Linked DNA regions of Oryctolagus cuniculus. The protein of the gene in region 1 interacts with the protein of each later gene in a biochemical or structural test. Links are inferred from orthologs where the notes say so. Each region holds a gene or a part of one and is shown on either strand. Other genes may lie near its edges. The genes, in order: NCK1, FASLG, ERBB3, LCP2 and MAP4K1.

Evidence for each region.
Region 2: the proteins of NCK1 (region 1) and FASLG form a complex in vitro, tested with the Homo sapiens proteins (2 studies listed by BioGRID and IntAct, with this or other methods). The link is inferred for Oryctolagus cuniculus from reciprocal best matches to the Homo sapiens genes NCK1 and FASLG.
Region 3: the proteins of NCK1 (region 1) and ERBB3 form a complex in vitro, tested with the Homo sapiens proteins (2 studies listed by BioGRID and IntAct, with this or other methods). The link is inferred for Oryctolagus cuniculus from reciprocal best matches to the Homo sapiens genes NCK1 and ERBB3.
Region 4: the proteins of NCK1 (region 1) and LCP2 form a complex in vitro, tested with the Homo sapiens proteins (2 studies listed by BioGRID and IntAct, with this or other methods). The link is inferred for Oryctolagus cuniculus from reciprocal best matches to the Homo sapiens genes NCK1 and LCP2.
Region 5: the proteins of NCK1 (region 1) and MAP4K1 form a complex in vitro, tested with the Homo sapiens proteins (2 studies listed by BioGRID, with this or other methods). The link is inferred for Oryctolagus cuniculus from reciprocal best matches to the Homo sapiens genes NCK1 and MAP4K1.

Annotation. Positions count from the first base shown.
Region 1 is NC_091435.1:144,670,184-144,672,537, reverse strand, and holds the end of NCK1 (SH2/SH3 adapter protein NCK1), read left to right. Parts: intron 1-985; coding exon 986-1,180; 3' UTR 1,181-1,853; downstream 1,854-2,354. UniProt on the Homo sapiens protein: Adapter protein which associates with tyrosine-phosphorylated growth factor receptors, such as KDR and PDGFRB, or their cellular substrates. Maintains low levels of EIF2S1 phosphorylation by promoting its dephosphorylation by PP1.
Region 2 is NC_091438.1:1,340,216-1,344,505, forward strand, and holds the start of FASLG (tumor necrosis factor ligand superfamily member 6), read left to right. Parts: upstream 1-1,490; 5' UTR 1,491-1,897; coding exon 1,898-2,257; intron 2,258-2,815; coding exon 2,816-2,864; intron 2,865-4,290. UniProt on the Homo sapiens protein: Cytokine that binds to TNFRSF6/FAS, a receptor that transduces the apoptotic signal into cells. Involved in cytotoxic T-cell-mediated apoptosis, natural killer cell-mediated apoptosis and in T-cell development.
Region 3 is NC_091442.1:58,896,807-58,900,320, forward strand, and holds part of ERBB3 (receptor tyrosine-protein kinase erbB-3), read left to right. Parts: intron 1-403; coding exon 404-523; intron 524-629; coding exon 630-728; intron 729-896; coding exon 897-1,082; intron 1,083-1,253; coding exon 1,254-1,409; intron 1,410-1,640; coding exon 1,641-1,716; intron 1,717-2,185; coding exon 2,186-2,332; intron 2,333-3,401; coding exon 3,402-3,499; intron 3,500-3,514. UniProt on the Homo sapiens protein: Tyrosine-protein kinase that plays an essential role as cell surface receptor for neuregulins.
Region 4 is NC_091437.1:57,184,406-57,188,464, forward strand, and holds the start of LCP2 (lymphocyte cytosolic protein 2), read right to left. Parts: upstream 2,807-4,059; 5' UTR 2,594-2,806; coding exon 2,516-2,593; intron 1-2,515. UniProt on the Homo sapiens protein: Adapter protein primarily involved in signaling pathways within T-cells, as well as other immune cells such as platelets, mast cells, and natural killer (NK) cells.
Region 5 is NC_091449.1:16,067,387-16,071,543, forward strand, and holds the start of MAP4K1 (mitogen-activated protein kinase kinase kinase kinase 1), read left to right. Parts: upstream 1-1,350; 5' UTR 1,351-1,440; coding exon 1,441-1,539; intron 1,540-1,716; coding exon 1,717-1,774; intron 1,775-1,896; coding exon 1,897-1,987; intron 1,988-2,599; coding exon 2,600-2,664; intron 2,665-3,794; coding exon 3,795-3,850; intron 3,851-3,967; coding exon 3,968-4,015; intron 4,016-4,134; coding exon 4,135-4,157. Other genes in the region: EIF3K (eukaryotic translation initiation factor 3 subunit K), read right to left, coding at 73-812. UniProt on the Homo sapiens protein: Serine/threonine-protein kinase, which plays a role in the response to environmental stress. Appears to act upstream of the JUN N-terminal pathway.

The DNA.
Region 1 (2,354 bases):
CTCACTGTCCACTCTGCCTGTCCAAAAAAAAACCTGCATCCCACGATGGAGTACCGAGATTGGGTTCTCAGCTCCAGCTCCTGATTACAGCTTCTTGCTAATGCAGGCCTTGGGAGACAGTGGTGATGGCTCAAGTAATTGGTTTCCCGACCACCTGTATGAGAGACCTGGATTGAGTTCTGGCTCCCAGCAGAGTTCTGGCCCCACCCTGGCCATTGTAGGCATTTGCGTGGGAGTGAAACCAGTGAATCCCTGCCCGCCCACTGGGGTGTTTGTGTACGTGTACACATACCTATCAGATATATACACAGTAAGAGTAAAATAAAATTGGAATACTTGCCAGCATTGAGGCTGTGTTCCTGCAAGATCACACTCACAGCTGAGGAAATGACCGCTTGTTTTAAATTGGCCATACACTGTCTATCTACTCTTCCCTCCCTATACCTCTTATTTACATTACTCTTTTGACCCTTGTAGGCATTTGAGTTTGTGACCTCTCATTAGAGTTCAGTTCTCATTGACATTTCCTTCATTTTTGAGACTTCAGAGTATTATCTGAGTATTCAGAGTATTATCAGTTACTATTAGCAACAAATTGAAGAGCTGTAGGCTGGATCCCTTAGATTTTTTTTTTTTTCATGTGTTTCTCCAATAGTCTGGAGAGAATATAGCTCTAGTGATTCAACTGTTAAACTAAAGATTTTCCATTATGTTATGCCATGGGTGCCACGGATGATGAGACTCTTGACTACATGGATTTCACTTGAGACTCTTTTGTTAGCTGGATGGATGATACTGGGCAACTTAGTGTTTTTCCGTCTTTAAAAAAATTTGTTTTGAGGAGTAAAGGAGATAGGTTATTTAGCATGTAAATAATTTTGCATGGTACTTGTACTTTAGTAAGTGATCACATTTTATGTTATTAGTTTAATATAAAAATGCTGATAGATGGCTTTCAGAATGTTTTTTTTTTTTTCTCTTTCAGCCAAATGATTTCTCTGTATCACTAAAAGCACAAGGGAAAAACAAGCATTTTAAAGTTCAACTCAAAGAGACTGTCTACTGCATTGGGCAGCGTAAATTCAGCACCATGGAAGAACTTGTAGAACATTACAAAAAGGCACCAATTTTTACAAGTGAACAAGGAGAAAAATTATATCTTGTCAAGCATTTATCATGATACTGCTGCTCAGAAGTGACTGCTGTACAGCTTTAATTCATCATGTAATTGAAGACTGAGATAACGTTGGTCCAGTCATACTTGATTGGAAATTGCTATTTCTAACTCTGTATGAGAATTGACTATATACCATAGGTATTTTTATTATAACTCAGCTCATTCACATATGCTACGTATGCAATGCATTCACATAGAACAATTCCTTATCTTTGGTCTTCTGTTATTTACTTTTTCCTTTTTGCTTCTAATATTGAGGTTTTGTATTTTGAAAAAAAGTCAAATAATACAGATCAGAAGTCTTTATATGGAAGAATTCCTCTATTGCCATTTGTTTATTTCCTTTTAGTGGCACCCTGTTAGTTCTGCAATGGTTTCTCTTCATATAAAATTATATATATAGCATATGGTAAAATAAATTTCTTGGAGAATGTTAATCTTTTCTGTGACTAAATAGCAATAATAAATGAAAAATTAGAAATTATTTTCAGGTATTGTATTTGCCACAGCCATTGTAAATACAAAGTAAAGTATTATGTCTGCCATTATTTTTAAAAAATGCATTCATTATCTTCAATGTACTACAAAGCAGGTGGGACATGGGTTAGAAAACAGCTTGTACAATTTTAATTTATAACTGTTGGAAGCAAAAATCACTAAATTCTTCATTTTGGGAGGTGTTTTTTGTGGTTATTCAAGAGAACAGAGCAATCTCTAAAATATTTAGCTTAAAACTAAACAGCTGCTGTAGTGTTGCTTTCTCTCCTTGTGTTATTTTACCAAAGCATCTTGTATAAGTACATGTTATATTTATACCAGGGTGAAATAAATTACGTCTGACTTTTGGGGAAATAGGAGGCAGTCAGATACCTATAGTTTTTCTCCCTAAACATCTGTAATTGTTAGAATAGTGTTTCCTGTTTTCATTTCCTACATTTGTTCACTGGGACACTAAAATTGTATATCTGAGGGAAAAGTGGAATGTGCTTATGATTAGGGAGTTCTATTTTATTTACCAGATAGGAGAGTGGGTGTCTGGATGAGAGGCTACTGGAAAGTATTGAATCTACTTCTGTAGGCTACAGAAGAAAACCAGTTGTATTTTATGGTCACAGCTTTTCTCTCCAGTATTTATTCTGGAGATTAAAATTTAAGCAGGTAACCATCAACATTTTAA
Region 2 (4,290 bases), on another chromosome or scaffold:
CAAGGCACCAAATGTAAGGAAAAGGGGGCCACAGAACAGAGAGGAGACAGGGTACAAACTCGCAGCCAGACCAAATTTATTCAGAGAAAATAAACTCACAGAGGTTGACAAACTGCCATCAAGCTCACAGATGGAACACGTGGCAGAAGCCCAGACCCTAGCAGGCTGGGCCTGTTTATAACTTAGGTGGGCTGGGGTGGGGCTGGGGGCAGTAGGCCGAGGTGAGTTTCTCCCTATTGGTTCTTCAGGTTTGGCCCACTGGCTTCCAAACCTGGGGAAGAATGCGGGGGGGGGGGGGGGGGGGGGGGACAATACAGGGAAGGAGACTGAACTCCTCTCTTGAAAGAAGACAGGGTAACAAGAACCTAAAGTGGCTGAGGCTCCTGTCCTTGTTGCATCAGTTCCTGTCACCATATGGTAGACTTGGATTGAGTTCCCAACTCCTGACTTCAGCCATGCCCAGTCCCAGCTATTGTAGGCACTTGGGAGTGAATCTGGAAGATGAAAACTTCCTCTTTCTCTCTCTCTCTCTCCCTCCTTCCCCACTCTCTGATGCAATACAATTTTGAAATTCATTAATAGAGTTTTCATTGTACACATTTTCCATGAACTTCTTGAAAACCCCTTGTACATTTGGTATTGACGTGGTCCACGTGAGAGAGCCAGAACGACAGTCACAGAAATCTCACAGTGTGATGTAGAAACTAATGAAACTGAAAAGTAGACATCTTCAAAAGAACAGAAATTGAAGATTTGTGGAAATTTTATACAGTTTTTATGGGAGAATGATTAAGAGTGAGGCTGAGTACTTGGAAGTTATTGGCATATTAATGGTATTTGAGACCAAAAGAAAGGGTGAGGTCATAGCCCAGGCACAGTTGCCATCTTTAGCAAAAAACAAAGTTAAAAAAAGGACACCCTTTAAAATTTGAATTTCAGATAAACAATGAATAACATTTTAGTACAACTCTTGCATTGTTTAGGACATACATACCCTGAAGCTTATTTGTTGATCTGAAATTCAAGCAATTCTAGTAAACATAACAGCAGCTATGAACAGGGCTGCCTACAGGGGCCAGAAAGCCATTTCACAGGTGAGGTGGTGTGGGAAACACAGTACAGGGTGGAGGGACCTTGGGGGTGGAGGTTGGGCTACCTGGTCACCTGTGTCTCATTCCTGGGGACACTTGCTCCTCACCTCCAGCTGACTGAATTTGTGGAGATGGCCTTAAAAATATTTACAACAGAATGAAAATAGGTATTTTAATGTGGACTGTCTTGATTTTACAAATGAGAAACAAATCATCAAGAAGTAAAAACAGAGCTAGGCTGTGAGATCCACAAAGCATATCTGATCTAATCTCTAGAGTGGGCGGGGCAGGGTCTAATCTGTAAATTATGGTGATTTGCAGGGTTCGGGTAAACAGTGCTTGGTGTGGGGAAGGGATGCGGGAGGGGGATGATTTCCTCTTGCAAGTGACTCCAGTCTCCCCGCTCAGCGCCACTCTCCCTGCGCCAGCACTGCGCCCAGTGCTGCCCTGCTCTGCAGGCCCGAGGAAGGCGGTCACGGCTCCCTGCCTTTTCAGGTAGCGCAGCCACGGCAGCTGTGGCTCCGGGGGCTTTCATCAGAAAGTTGTGGGCGGAAACTTCCAGGGGTTGGCTCTGAGCTTCTTGAGGCTTCTCAGCTGCAGATATAAGGTGAGTGGGTGTCTCTCTGAGAACTAGCAAGAGAAGATGAGAGAGAGAGAGAGATTGATTGGTGTTTCCCTTGGTGTGGAAACTCTATAAAGCGAGAGCTGGCTGTTCCTCTCTTAACAGTGAGCAGCAGGAGTTCCTTCTTCGACATTGCAGCCTCCACAGGACTGAGAAGTAAAATCCTTGGGAGTCCCTGGCTGCCATGCAGCAGCCCTTCAGTTATCCATATCCCCAAATCTACTGGGTGGACAGCACTGCCAGCTCTCCCTGGGCCCCTCCAGGGTCAGTTCTCCCCTGTCCATCCTCTGTACCTGAAAGGCCTGGTCAAAGAAGGCCACCACCACCACTGCCACCGCCGCCGCCACCGCTACCACCACCACCACTGCCCCCGCTGCCCCCACTGCCCCCGCTGCCCCCACCACCCCTGAAGAAGAGGAAGGACCACAGCACAGGCCTCTGCCTCCTTCTGATGTTTTTCATGGTCCTGGTGGCCCTGGTTGGATTGGGGCTGGGGATGTTCCAGCTCTACCACCTGCAGAAGGAGTTGGCCGAGCTCAGAGAGGTAAGCTGTGTCCAGCAATCACTGGGGTGGGAGGAGGGCTCTGCTGCTGTGGGATGGAGCCTCCTGGGGTCTACCCGGACCACTGTCTTGCTTGCAAAGTGCTTTTCAAGCTTTACTGTTTGTCTTGGAAAGGGATTGTTCTTGTCGTTCTATTCTATAGGTAGAGAAATGGAGGGTCCTATGAATGAAGAGGTATTTTCTGTCTTGTAAAGAATTTGAGCCATATGGTTTTGCCTTTTTCAGTTGTCATGTCAGTCTGTGAAGCCACTGACCTCAGATCTAGTGATTCAAGAAATAAAAAAAAAACTTTGAGTCTGCTTAGAAGTGAATGTATTCAAATGACCAGACTGAATTTCCTTGAAAACATTTTAAAAAATCTGGTACCATTTCAAATGACAAAACTGAGGGACAATGAGACAAACTTGTTTGGCTAAAGTCTGAGTTAGGAAAGGTTCTGAGGAGTTTGGAATCTCTTTCGGGGGCTGGCTTATTTGGCAATTCCTCCACTGATTAAAGAGCTTCCTATTTATCATACATCTTTTCTCTTTCTTCCGGTAGTCCTTCAGTCAAAGGCACACAGCATCATCATCTATGGAGAAGCAAACAGGTGAGTCCTTTTATTCATGTGATTTGAATTTCCAAAGATAATCCTTAGCACTGAACATTGTTGGGGGGATACCTTGAATCCTATCCCATTCCTGGGCTTGTGAATATTATGAGAAGAGTCTTGGACAATTCTGAACCCCTGGTCAGTGTGGTTTCTTGAGCATCTTTTAAAATATGAAGTGAATTTCACTGCTCAAAATCAGTGTAGCTGAGTGTTTCACACAATGCAAAATACTTTTGACTTGACTTTGGGATGAGACACACATACATAATCCTGGAGCCCTGCCATTTGGGCAGCTGGTTGCAGGCCCATCTCCTTCCTCAGGAGTCCTAGTTAGGTATGGGCAAAGAGAGAAACTTCTGGGAAATGTCCTCTCCTCTTCTCAACTCCAGAAAAGAGATCACTCAAGAGTCAAGCTTCATTTAAGACATTGTACAAGATTTAGCTAAGCTTTTGATAAGTGGACAATTTCCCACATAGCATGGTTCCTTTGAAGTCATGGGGAGGCCTGGGAGAAGATTTAACCCATATTCAAAGGATTATTCCACTTTACCTATGAGATGTTTTTGACAATAAAGGAAAGTCCTTTGTATGAAATCCAGTACAAGAAAAAGGTAAAAGTGTTGAATTCTGGCTTCATTAAATTTCAGAGCATAGATTTAGACACTGTGGACAAGTATATTTTAGGATTTGCTCCATTTGTATTAAACCAAGATTAATTGACTTTTTAAACTTGGTTAGAACTGAGAGGGATCTTAAAGATCATCAGTTCCACCCATTTCATTTCTCAGAAGAGAAACAAAACATCAGACAGATTGGGTGATGTGCCCATGACTACTGGGTGGCGCTGGGGCTAGAAGGGATGTAGGCTCCTGCTGCCTTGGCACTTCCAGGACTTTCTAGCATGTGGACTGGTGCCTCATGGAAAGACAGAAACTCTTGCTTGACTGTAATTGCCAGGGGATGAGAAAGAAATGGAAAGCAGGACACTTCTGCAAAATCAGTAGGTAATTTTTTTCCTTAGAAATGTGGAAGAAGAGAGCAGGCAGGGCTAGCCATCCATTAAGTGCTGCCAGTTTCAATCTCAGGATAGCCTACTGCAGGTGGCCCAGGTCAGCGACTTCCCTGGAGCATAAACTCATGTAGGAGCCATCACTGAGATGCTCTGGCCCCTTGTTCTGATGTGGTAGAAACTCAGGAGGGGCACAGAGTGGAAACACTTTTTAGAAAAACGCAGCCTCTGGAGGACTTCTAATGTCACTTTGAAAATCAGGGGACTGTGGCTAGGGAAACAGGTACCTCATTACTCATCTCTCACCCACTCTCTGGAGGCGTTTTATTGGTTAAAAGTTAAATGAACAGATGAGTCAGGTCTACCTACCCCACTAAACTCTTATCTTCTCTGCATCAACCCAGACAGATCAGA
Region 3 (3,514 bases), on another chromosome or scaffold:
CTTTGATGTGCCTTCTCTGTGCTTAAGTTTGCACATCTGTACAGCGCAAATAGCACTCATCCTTCCAGGGAGACTGTTAGGGAGAAAGGGGATAATGCACATGAAAGTTCTTTGAAACGCACAGAGCACTGGATAAAAGGTACTCAAGGTGCCGACTTCCCAGCTCCCCAGCAAAGGGAAAACCTACCCCTCCTGACTCCTGAGCTCGCAAGCACAGCTTCTTCAGTCCTTGGGATCTGTTATTCCTAGATATGCCCATAGTGCTTTCCAGGGCTAAACATAATTCCCATTCCTGCCCCCACACCCTGGGCTCTGCTGCTCCTGGTAGCTATTGCGGGGAGCAGGTTGGTATGGGACATGTGAGTGGGCTTTCCTGAGTTTCTCTTTCCCATCTGCTCCTCAGAGCTTAGAGCCTCTGGATCCCAGCGAGAAGGCTAACAAAGTCTTGGCCAGAATCTTCAAAGAGACAGAGCTGAGGAAGCTTAAAGTGCTTGGTTCCGGCGTCTTTGGAACTGTGCACAAAGTGAGTGACCCCCAGGAAGTCTGGGGAGGTAGGGAATGGATCTGGGGGCAAAGGGCTGACCCTGGGGAGAATGACCCTAGGCTGACTCCTGCCCCAAACTTCCCAGGGTGTGTGGATCCCCGAGGGTGAATCCATCAAGATTCCAGTGTGCATTAAAGTCATCGAAGACAAGAGTGGACGGCAAAGTTTTCAGGCCGTGACGGATGTAAGTAAAGGAATGCTGTGCACCGGTGAGAGAGGGGACAAGATCAGACACAAGCACAGCCTGTGTTAGCAGATACTGTGTTAGACATGCTGATGCACCTGAATGTCCGGGGACGCCCTGGTTGGGGTGTGCCCGTGATTCCTGGATAACATCTCCCGTGTCTCTTAGCACATGCTGGCCATCGGCAGCCTGGACCACGCCCACATCGTACGGCTGCTGGGACTGTGCCCAGGGTCATCGCTGCAGCTCGTCACTCAATACCTGCCTCTGGGTTCCCTGCTGGATCATGTGAGGCAGCAGCGGGAGTCGCTGGGGCCACAGCTGCTGCTCAACTGGGGCGTACAAATCGCTAAGGTGAGAGGAGCATGGCGGGAGTCCTGCGGGAGCCACCTTGCTGCAGCAGGCAGGGCAGGGGTGAGAAGATGACAGCTTTGCAGTGCTTAGAGGACCCTCAAGGGTCTGGGGGCATTCAGGAGGTCCGCAGTGGATTTCCTCCGAGCCTGGGGCTATTTCCTTCCCCTACAGGGCATGTACTATCTTGAGGAGCACGGTATGGTGCACAGGAACCTGGCTGCCCGCAACGTGCTGCTGAAGTCAGCCAGTCAGGTTCAGGTGGCAGATTTTGGTGTGGCTGACCTGCTGCCCCCAGATGATAAGCAGCTCCTCCACAGTGAAGCCAAGGTGAGGGGACACAGAGGGCCTCGTGAGAGGTGGGGTAGTGTAAACAAAGCACGGGGGAAGTCTCTCAGAGCAAGCAGATGCTTCACCGTTAAATTCATGGAGGGCAAGGTGGGGTTGGCAGAAATTTAAGTGCAGACGGCAAGAAGGAAAAACGATAGCATGCTTGGGGTTTGGAAATGCTAAGAAAATTTGTGGAAATGGACTAGTGACACCTTTGTCTTTACTCCCCAGACTCCAATTAAGTGGATGGCTCTTGAGAGTATCCACTTTGGGAAATACACACACCAGAGTGACGTCTGGAGCTACGGTCAGTGCATCTGGGTGCCTTCATGCCATCACTGTCCCAAATTCCACGACTACCTTTTTTTTTTTTTTTTAGTTAATTAATTAATTTGAAAAGCAGAGTTGTAGAGAGGCAGAGAGGAGAGGCCTTCCATCCACTGGTTCACTCCCCAGATGGCCACAATGGCCAGAGCTGCGCCAATCCAAAGTCAGGAGCCAAGAGCTTCTTCTGGGTCTCCAATGTGGGTGGCAGGGGCCCAAGGACTTGGGCCATCTTCTGCTTTCCCAGGCCATAACAGAGCTGAATTGGAAGCGGAGCAGCCGGGACTCGAACCGGTGCCCATATGGGATGCCTGCTACACCACAGTGCCAGCCCCCACAACTGCCTTTGGAGATACCCTCTCTTAGACTCTCTAAGCCCTTCACATCTTGTGTCTGACCAACTTCTGCCTCCCTTTTTACTTCATTGCCTATGGGTACTGTTTTCTTACCAGGTGTGACAGTTTGGGAGCTGATGACCTTCGGTGCAGAGCCCTATGCAGGGCTGCGATTAGCAGAAGTACCAGACCTGTTGGAGAAGGGGGAACGGTTGGCACAGCCCCAGATCTGCACCATTGATGTCTACATGGTCATGGTCAAGTGTGAGTCGCCTGCTGGCTCCAGTCAATTTTTTTCAAATACTTATTTATTTATTTATTTTTAAAGATTTATTTGAAAGAGTTACAGAGAGAGGTAGAGAGGTCTTCCATCCACTGGTTCACTCCCCAAATGGCCGCAATGGCTGGAGCTATGCCAATCTGAAGCCAGGAGCCAGGAGCTTCTTCCAAGTCTCCCAAGTGGGTGCAGGGGCCCAAGGACTTGGTCCATCTTCTACTGCTTTCCCAGGCCATAGCAGAGAGCTGGATTGGAAGAGGAACAGCCAGGACTAGAACTGGCACCCATATGGGATGCTGGCGCTTCAGGCCAGGGTGTTAACCTGCTGCGCCACAGCACCGGCCCCTATTTATTTTTCTGAAAGGTAGAGTGACAGATCTATCTGTTGGTTTATTCCTCAAATGACTGCAACAGCCAGGGCTGCGCCAGGCTGTCACAGTATCCAGGAACTCCATCCAGGTATCCCACATGGGTGGCAGGGACTCAAGTACTTGAGCCTTCATCCACTGCTTCCTGGTGCTTTAGCAGGGAGCTGGATAGGAAGCCTAGTAGTTGGGACTTAAACCAGCACTCAGATATAGGATGTGGATGACCCAAGGAAGAGGCTAAATTGCTGGCCCGACATCCCCCCCTCCCCCAGCCTTTTTTTTTTTTTTTAAGAGAGAGATCGATCTTCTATCTGCTGGTTCACTCCCCCAATTGGCCCCAAAGGCCGGAGCTGCGTTGATCTGAAGCTAGGAGCCAGGAATTTCTTCTGGGTCTCCCACGCGGGTACAAGGGCCCAAGGACTTGGGCCATCTTCCACTGCTTTCCCAGGCCATAGCCGAGAGCTGAATAGGAACTGGTGCTCATATGGGACACCAGAATTGCAGGAGGTGGCTTTACCCACTATGCCATAGCACTGCCCACCCCCACCCCCACCCCAAGCCATTTTTTCACAGTTGATCTTAGCCAAAAGGCTGAAAATCCCAGCTATTTGTTAACTGTTCTCCCTCCCATCTCCTCTTACGGCTCCATGCACACTGACGGTTTTTTACCTCCTGTGTCTTATCCTAGGTTGGATGATTGATGAGAACATTCGCCCAACCTTTAAAGAACTAGCCAATGAGTTCACCAGGATGGCCCGAGATCCACCACGGTATCTAGTCATAAAGGTGAGTAGGGACTAG
Region 4 (4,059 bases), on another chromosome or scaffold:
CTTAGAGCCCTGCGATCCACATACCAATGAGTGGCCAGTTAACACAGCAGGAAACTGGGAGCAATAAACATTTTGATACCTCTGTCTGCTGAATGCCTCACATACACTATTTCCTTTACTCCTCTCAACCATTCCACTGGGTTTGTTACCCTTCATGTCTGTTTAATTGCCTGCTTTGGTAGAACTTGTGCCTACCAATTGCCTTCCAATCATCTACCAATCAACCCGTGAAATGATACATTTTATTTCCAAGATCCATCCCCAGATGACCCTGTGTTGAGCAATGTTTTCTCTCTTGAGGACTGACTTGCTCAGAGAGGCGAAGTAGCTAAGGGAAGGCCACCAAACTAGCAGGTGGCAGAGCCAGGGTTCCAACAAGGTGTGTCTGACTCCAGAGTTGGGCAGCGTGGTATCACTGAGGGAAGCCTGACCCTGACACGTGGGTAGAAGCTGCACCCACCAAACGCCTACCCACTGATGCGTTAAATGGGTATGCTTGATCACTAAGATCCATCCCCAAATGAACTTGCAGTCAGTGCGCTCCTGGTTCTGTCTCTTGGGGACTGAGATGGCCTGGGACTTCCAGGGTCACAGATTCCCCTCTGCCTCCTTGTTCCTACCTGGGTCCTTTTGTGCCGGGAGGGGAACCTGGCCCAGTGCTATGCAGTTTTTGCAAGGTCTTAGAACTCCAAGAAGAGAATCATCTCTTCCCCGAACTCAGACAGAGAGCTGTGTCCTGCCCTCCAGTCTGTCCTATCGCCCTGCGCTGACAGGAACTTTGTCTACAGACTCTCTGTCGGTCAGCTGAGTTGTGAAATTTTTCTGACCACATTTGAAATAGCCCCTCAGCCTCTCCTGGGCCTTTCCCTCTGTAACTCTCAACTCCTTTCTCCCTTCTTTATTGCAATAACGTACCACATACTTCCATCTGGGCAAATTTTACCTTTGATCGCCCTATCTCAGAGAAGTATTAGAAACACTCTTCAAAGGCCAGTCGGGCCAGTTGTCCAATGATCTTTGCATCTACAAACCCAAAACCTAGTTTTGTTATGACTTTATACATGTGTGGGGTGGAGGCAGAGGGGACAACAGAAGTGAAATGCACAAGAAACAGAAAACGACAGGCTCTGTGGGGCTGTGCCCCTACCATGCCACACCTGGTTCAAGGTTTTTGTTTTTAGGCTGGGGAAGAACCATCATCACTGCAAATACCTTGGTACTATGAGACCTCAGGTTCAGCTATGTGTCCCAGAGAGCCTATTCCACCCCCGCGGGGCTCAGTTTCCCCAGGAAAAACAGTTAAGTGAGATGACATGTAAAGTCTTAGTGCTACAAGCTCTTCTTTATGCTGGTCTGCAGTATCAACTAAATGTGGTGCCAGCCTGCAGGGAAGAGGATGTTAGAAGAGCAAATGTCCCTTCGGCTGGTGCTGTGGTACAGTGGGTTAACGCCCTGGCCTGAAGCGCCGGCATCCCATATGGGCTGCTGCACTTCCGATCCAGCTTTCTGCTATGGCCTGGGACAGCAGTAGAAGATGGCCCAAGTCCTTGGGCCCCTGCACCCACATGGGAGACCTGGAGGAAGTTCCTGGCTTCTGGCTTTGGATTGGCATAGCTCCGGCCGTTGCAGCCAACTGGGGAGTGAACTAGCAGATGGAAGACCTCTTTCGCTCTTTCTCTCCCTCTCTCTCTGCCTCTCCTTTCTCTGTGTAACTCTGACTTTCAAACAAATAAATAAATCTTAAAAAAGAGAGCAAATGTCCCCTGCAAGGCATCCTATGCTAGAGACAGGAACAGAGGATCCATACTTGCTCGGGCAGGCTTGTGTCCTGTCATCCCCACCAGCAGGTGGACAAGCAGACGATCTTTGAGCATCTCTTCCAAGTCTGGAAGGTAGGACAGCAACCCTGGTCCCGGCTCCACTGCAGTGAGACTCTGATCTATGTAAGAACTTGAGGACCCAGCTTTCTGGGCCCTGAGCAGTGAGTGGCCAAACGCCATGTCTAGCGTTGTTCACCCTCTACCCCTGCCTCCTTCCCTGCCTGTTGTTCTGCACCCAGAGCACCAGGTCTCCCCTTTCTAGAATGTAGTTCTCTTCATCTCAGAGCACAGACTGAAACTGCACAGAAGTGACTCCAATCCTTCTGTCACTACCACCTGTAGTCCCTGTGGCTTTGGGCTGTTTAGCTTCCTTGAGCCTACCTTGAAGCTGAGCCACAGGGATGACAATATTGACCTCAGAAGATTGTCAAGAGGGATCAATGGCACAGTGCTGCAGTGTACCGAGTTCAGGCCCTGGCACATGGTAGGCACCTACTCATTCAAGAGCTCCTGCTCCCACCCTCCTCTCCAGAACTCACTGCAAGGAGCTCTCAGTGGTCTCCCATGGCGCTCACTCTCCCAACAAGGCTGCCGAGAGGCCAGTCACTCCACAGCTGTCTTTTACACCTCTTGTCTTCTGCCCAGCCCATGGAGGGCACTCCCAGCCCGACCACCAACAAAAGAGTGGGTCTCACCTTCTTAAAGTAGTCAGCAAGGCTGTCAGGGTCCCAGGCGAGGACTTCGGAGCGAAAGGGCACGTTCCTCAGTGCCATGGCCGCTGTCTTAGGAGGGGGCTCACAGGTTGAGCGTGGATGCTGCACCCATGGACAGAGAACCCCAAATCCAGATCTTGGAGGCGTCCTTGGCTCTCCCAACTCCCAGCTGCCCCTGGATCGGCCTTGTTGGAGCAGACGTCTTTTCTGCTGTAGTCGGATCCCAGAAAGCAGCAGCTTCCTCTGCGAACAAATATGGTCTCTTCTCAGAAAACGACTTGGCTAGTTTCCTTTACCACTTCCTCTGCTGGCTTCTAAATAAGTAAACAAGGAAGCCCAGCTCTGAGGGCTTGAGATGCAGACAGAGTGACAGGGCAGGTCATTCTCCACCTCGCCCGTGGTCCTGGGCACCCCTGCCCAGCAGGAGGGGCCATGAAGGGCGCTTAAACTCCGAAGCCAGCCCAAGCATTTTGCTGTTAAAACTCCTGTCCCTTCAGCCCCACCCCATGGGTCTACACCACGTTCTTGCTCTGCTGGGGCTTTGCAGATGAATATCTATTCATCTGACAATTGACCTAAAATATAGACAACTTCCAGCAACAGGGAGCTGTGGTGTGGGGGGACGCATGCATGATGCCCCTTCTTCCCTCTTCTCTCAGCCCTAGTCTCTAGCAGTCTCTGCCTGCTACCATTGAAATGAGAGGGTGAGTCTGTAGTGCGTCAGGCATCCAAGGCTGAGCAAGGCGCTACCCTGGGCCAACCCGGGTTCCCTTCTGATGGGAGCTTCTCTGTGCTGTGCAACCTTAGGCAAGGACTTAAAATCTGGGGAGCTCAGTTTCCCTATATGTAAAATAGGAAAGCAGAGGAATTGCCTTATACACACATAACAAATAGATGCATTTAACTTGAGAACCTTCAAATGAAAAAATCAGAAAGCTAGAAGTGACAATTGCTACAGCTGGTGCCTTGGATTCCACTGTGTGTTTACAGCTCATGTTTTATTCACTGTTGATGACATCATGTGTTTCAATCAAAAAGCACATTCCCTGGAGACAGGAGTAGGAATCTTCTAATTTCTTCACCAGTCTCAGACTGTGCATTTCTATAGACGGAGCAACTTGTTGTCAGACAGCCAAGCCAGGGTCTAAAAGGCAATGCATTTGTGCAATGCAGCAGTGGCCTCTGAACAAAATAGAGCTACTTCACTCGGTTCTACACACTCACTCTCTCTCTCACACACACACACATAGCCACCAGTGCTGGTGCTTTGGGAAAGAATCAAGCTTTGTTGCCTTACTGAGCAATGCTATGACAGTCCCTGCATGGTGCCTTCCTGAAGGTTTTTCAAGGGTAGCTTTGGCCACACACACTCTACATCTTATACACAATGTAAGGAGCCCACTGTCATGTCATGCTCCTGCCTCCCTAGCCGGTTGCGAGCTTAAGTGAGGCACACATTTAGTCCCAGGCCCGGCACCTGGACAATGGTGCATGGGCTGGTGATAGCCTCACCTCAGTGGGTGCTG
Region 5 (4,157 bases), on another chromosome or scaffold:
GCCCTCCCCACGAGCCACCCTTTGCTCCTCCATTCCGCGTGGCCAGAGCGCTCCGCCTGACCGGGCTCAGACCTGTCGATACCCTTGAGCAACTTGCCCACGTTCGCTCTCATCTGCTCAAACATCGCCATGGCTCCCGCCGCCTTCCGCAAGCAGCCCGCACCAGGTCTCCCAAGGCCGGAAGAGGAAAGACGTAGCGGAAACGGAAACGACGTACGCGGCTCGGCACCGCCGGGCGCGCCGAGGCGGAAGGCGCAAGCGGCGGCGGCCACGCTTTCCGGCTGACACGTGATCCGCCCCCGCCCCGCAGGCGTAATTGGCGCCTGCGCGTTTGCTCCGCCCGAGCTGGACCGACCGCGAGAGAAAAAGCTCAGTGTGACCCAGGGCGCAGCCGCCGTCGTGGGAGCGAGGAGGCGGGGCTGAGCTTTTCCCGGGCCTCGCAGGTCCCGCTTCGGGCCCGGGGACGCGCGCGCGCGCGCACGAAGGCGCCAGGAAGAGGCCGAGCCCTGCCGGCGTGCGTGCACGTCGTATTGCGCGCGGCCGTGAACCCAATGAACTGTGCGGGAAGGCACGGAGCCGCCTTTTTTTTTTTTTGGGCCGCGGCCGAGTCCCGACCATCCTGGGCTCCTGAGACAGGATCCCGAGCTTCTCCGTTTCAAGTTTTGAACTGTGGTCCCCACCCTCCGTCCCAGCTCCAGCCACAGGGGAATAGGGGTCCACGAAGCCGTGCGCTCTGCTGGGCAGAGGCTGGGGTAAAAGGTTCCTAGCCTCCGCCCCCTGGCTGAAGGCTTAGACCCCCCTGTGTGCCGCATTGAGTTATTTGTGTCAAGACTGTACACTACACACGCGGGTACACATGCATGGCCACATACGTGGAGTGTGCGCTCTGGGTAACTCCACGTGTACACAGATACCCAGGCATGCACATGGTTAGGCCTCTGCAAAACTCTGGGCACACGGATGTGTCCTAGGGAACAGGTGTGCAGGCTGCACGGCCGTCCCTGCGCAGACCTGCCACTTCCGAGTGTAAGCACCCATGGCTAGTAGCCCCAGACACCCTCCAGCAGCCCAGGACTGGAGGAGGGGGGGAGAGGGGGTGCTAGGGCGCTCCCCTCCCCAGGTTACAATTAAGGCTATTTGCATCTCATTTACATCCAGCCCCCGGCCTTGGGGGCGTAGGGGGGTCCCCTGGGTCCCGAGGCAAGCTGCTCCTCACTGGCTTTCGGAGCCCAGGGGACAGGGGTGGAGCCGTTTGCCCAGGCCTGCAGCTGGGACAGGAAGCGAGAGTGGGGAAGGGGGAGGCCACAGCCCACAGAGAGGAGGCGAGGCGGTGCAGGGCTTGTGGGGAAGGGAGGGAGGGAGGGAGGGAGGGAGGTGCCAGAGCTGGAGCCCTGAGGCCCCGCTGGCCCCTGGGCACAGGCCCAGCTCCAGCCCCCAGGGATGGACCTCGCGGACCCCGACATCTTCAACAGGGACCCCCGGGACCACTACGACCTGCTTCAGCGGCTGGGTGGCGGCACCTACGGGGAAGTGTTCAAGGTGAGCAGGCCTCTCGGTCTCTCCGTCACCCTGAAGCCCAGGACCTTCGGGCTGAGGCCCAAGCAAGGAAGGGGGTGCAGGAGGGCCCCAGTGCTTAGCCTTGGCTCAGGGATGCTGGGGTGGGGGGTGGGCTCGGGCGGATGGAAACCCTCCAGCTGCAAACTTGCCCTTTCCAAGGCTCGAGACAAGGTGTCGGGGGACCTGGTGGCGCTGAAGATGGTGAAAATGGAGCCTGGTGAGCGCAGGACCCGGGACCCCTGCCCTCCCCTCCCCTCCCCTGCCGCACCTGCGGGCCCCGCTGGGCCGGCCTCCTCTGCCTTCCCGGCAGCTTTCTTTTCTCTCCGCCCCTGCTCGCAGACGACGACGTCTCTACCCTGCAGAAGGAAATCCTCATATTGAAGACCTGCCGGCACGCCAACATCGTGGCCTACCATGGGAGCTACCTCTGGTGACGGCCTCCCCCTACCCCGACCTGGGGTCCTCCCTCCCAAAGGGGCACCCGCTGACCTCCTCTCCGATTCTGGAGCCCCATCTTCAACTGGGGCACCTCGAGCTCACCCCCGAGTCCCAAACCCCGCTTTTCTGCCCAGAGCCCCCTTTTCTGCACGGTGGTCCCCAAATCAATGCCTTCCCAGGAGCCAGGCCTGAACTCAGCTCTGCTGGAGACTCGGCCCTCCCCTGGCTTCCCGCTCTGCTCCTTTAACGGGACCCCTGCAGTTCCCTGCCCCTCGGATGAACGCTCCAGACAACCTCAGCCCCCCCCCCCCCCCAGCCCCCTGCTCGCACGCGCCTCCTGCTCACTTCCACGGTCTGAGGGCTCTCACACAGCAGAGGGTGCAATGGGTCTGAAGGCCAAAGACCTGGGTTTGCGCCGAGTCGCCCCTGAACACAGTTTCCTTTCTGAGCCTCAACTTCCCCCTCTGTAAAATGGGAATGGGGTGGGCAGAGGGAAAGGGAGGGATGCCACCGGATGCTGATGGTCTTGCGCCCAGGGCCCTGCTGCAGATGGTAACGCGTTGCCGCTGCTACTGGCCTGATTGCTACTCTCCAACCGCTGCAGGCTGCAGAAGCTCTGGATCTGCATGGAGTTCTGTGGGGCTGGCTCTCTCCAGGACATCTACCAAGGTCAGAGGGGGGTGGGGGATCCAGGCCCCTCCCCGCTCCCCCCATCCCTCTGCGTGTCCTTGGGAACTGGTTTTCTGGTCTGGATTTTAAACAAGGAGCCCCTTCTCTGGCCCCGGGTGATGCTGAGGGTGTCATGATGACCCAGCATGCCCCGGGCCTGGCCAGCCTCAGTCTCTCTGCAGGCGGTGATTCCCCCCACCCTCCCCCGCCCCGCCCCACCCCTGTCCCCATCTTGGTCTCTGCAATTTCTGGCTTATTCCTGGGTCTCAGCGCGCCTGCGTTCTCTGGCCCCTGGGAGATGCCCCACCGTCCTCGGATGAGGGGCTGAATTTCCAGTTCTGGCTCTTGGCCTGCCCTTGCTCCGACCACCTCCCCTGTGCGCCCGTCTGTCCCTGTCTTGATCCCCTCTTCACCCCTCCTGTCTCTCTCTTGCTGACTTGCCACATCTTGGTCTCTGTCTCAGTTTGGATCTGTCCCTGTTCCGTTCTCTCTCTCTCTCTGCCTCTCCTCATTTGGCAAAAATCACATCACTCTGCCATCCACAGCCCACCCACGAGAAGCCCACACCTCTCATCACGTGAGGCCCCGGGTCTCAGCCCACACGTGATGACCAAGCTCGCCTCCTGCGACCTTCCTCCCCCCACGTCACTGCTTGTCAACCCCCTCCCGCTGCCGCCCCCGGCCCCTGCCCTCCCATCCTCACGGCTGTGACCTTAGAATAGCCACTGCTGACCAGCTGCGCCCGGGGTCAGAACCCTGCCCACACGCACTTCCTGTTGTCTGTTCTGGCTCTTTCTTCTCGCTATTGGCGCCTCCCGTGGGCTCCGTTTTGCTCACCTTCTGGTCCGCTGCCTGCCTCCCCGCCCCAGACTGTGCTCTCCCCGAAGCCAGGGACGGTTTGCCTCCGCCTCCCGGCTCTGCCCTGGTGCCTGGCACCCAGCAGACACAGCACCTGCCTGCGGAGCTGAGCGACTGCCCCCCTCCAGCCTGGCTCCTCGCTGAGCACCCTTCCATCTCCCCCTCCCCGATGGCACCCTCTCAGCTGGTGTGGGCGGGGGCCGGGGGACCCCCTGGGGCTCTGGTTGCCCAGCTCCCCCCAACACCCGGCCTGGCCCGCGTGCCCCTTGCAGTGATGGGCTCCCTGTCTGAGCTGCAGATCGGCTACGTCTGTCGGGAAGTGCTGCAGGTGAGGAGAGCCTGGGCCCTGGTGGGGCTGGGGCTGGGGGTACAGGGCAGGCGGGGCCCTACTGCAGCCCCACCCACCCAGGGGGCACTCACGCACCCCCTGCCACCCTCTCCCCAGGGACTGGCCTACCTGCACTCACAGAAGAAGATCCACCGAGACATCAAGGTGGGCTGGGCGCTTGGGTACCCGACGGGAGTGACCTCGTGGTGGGGCCAGGGGGCAGGGCAGCGCTGGGCTACACAGCAGGGGCTCCAGCAGCTTCTGGGCCCCTCTCTCGTCCCCAGGGAGCCAACATTCTCATCAATGA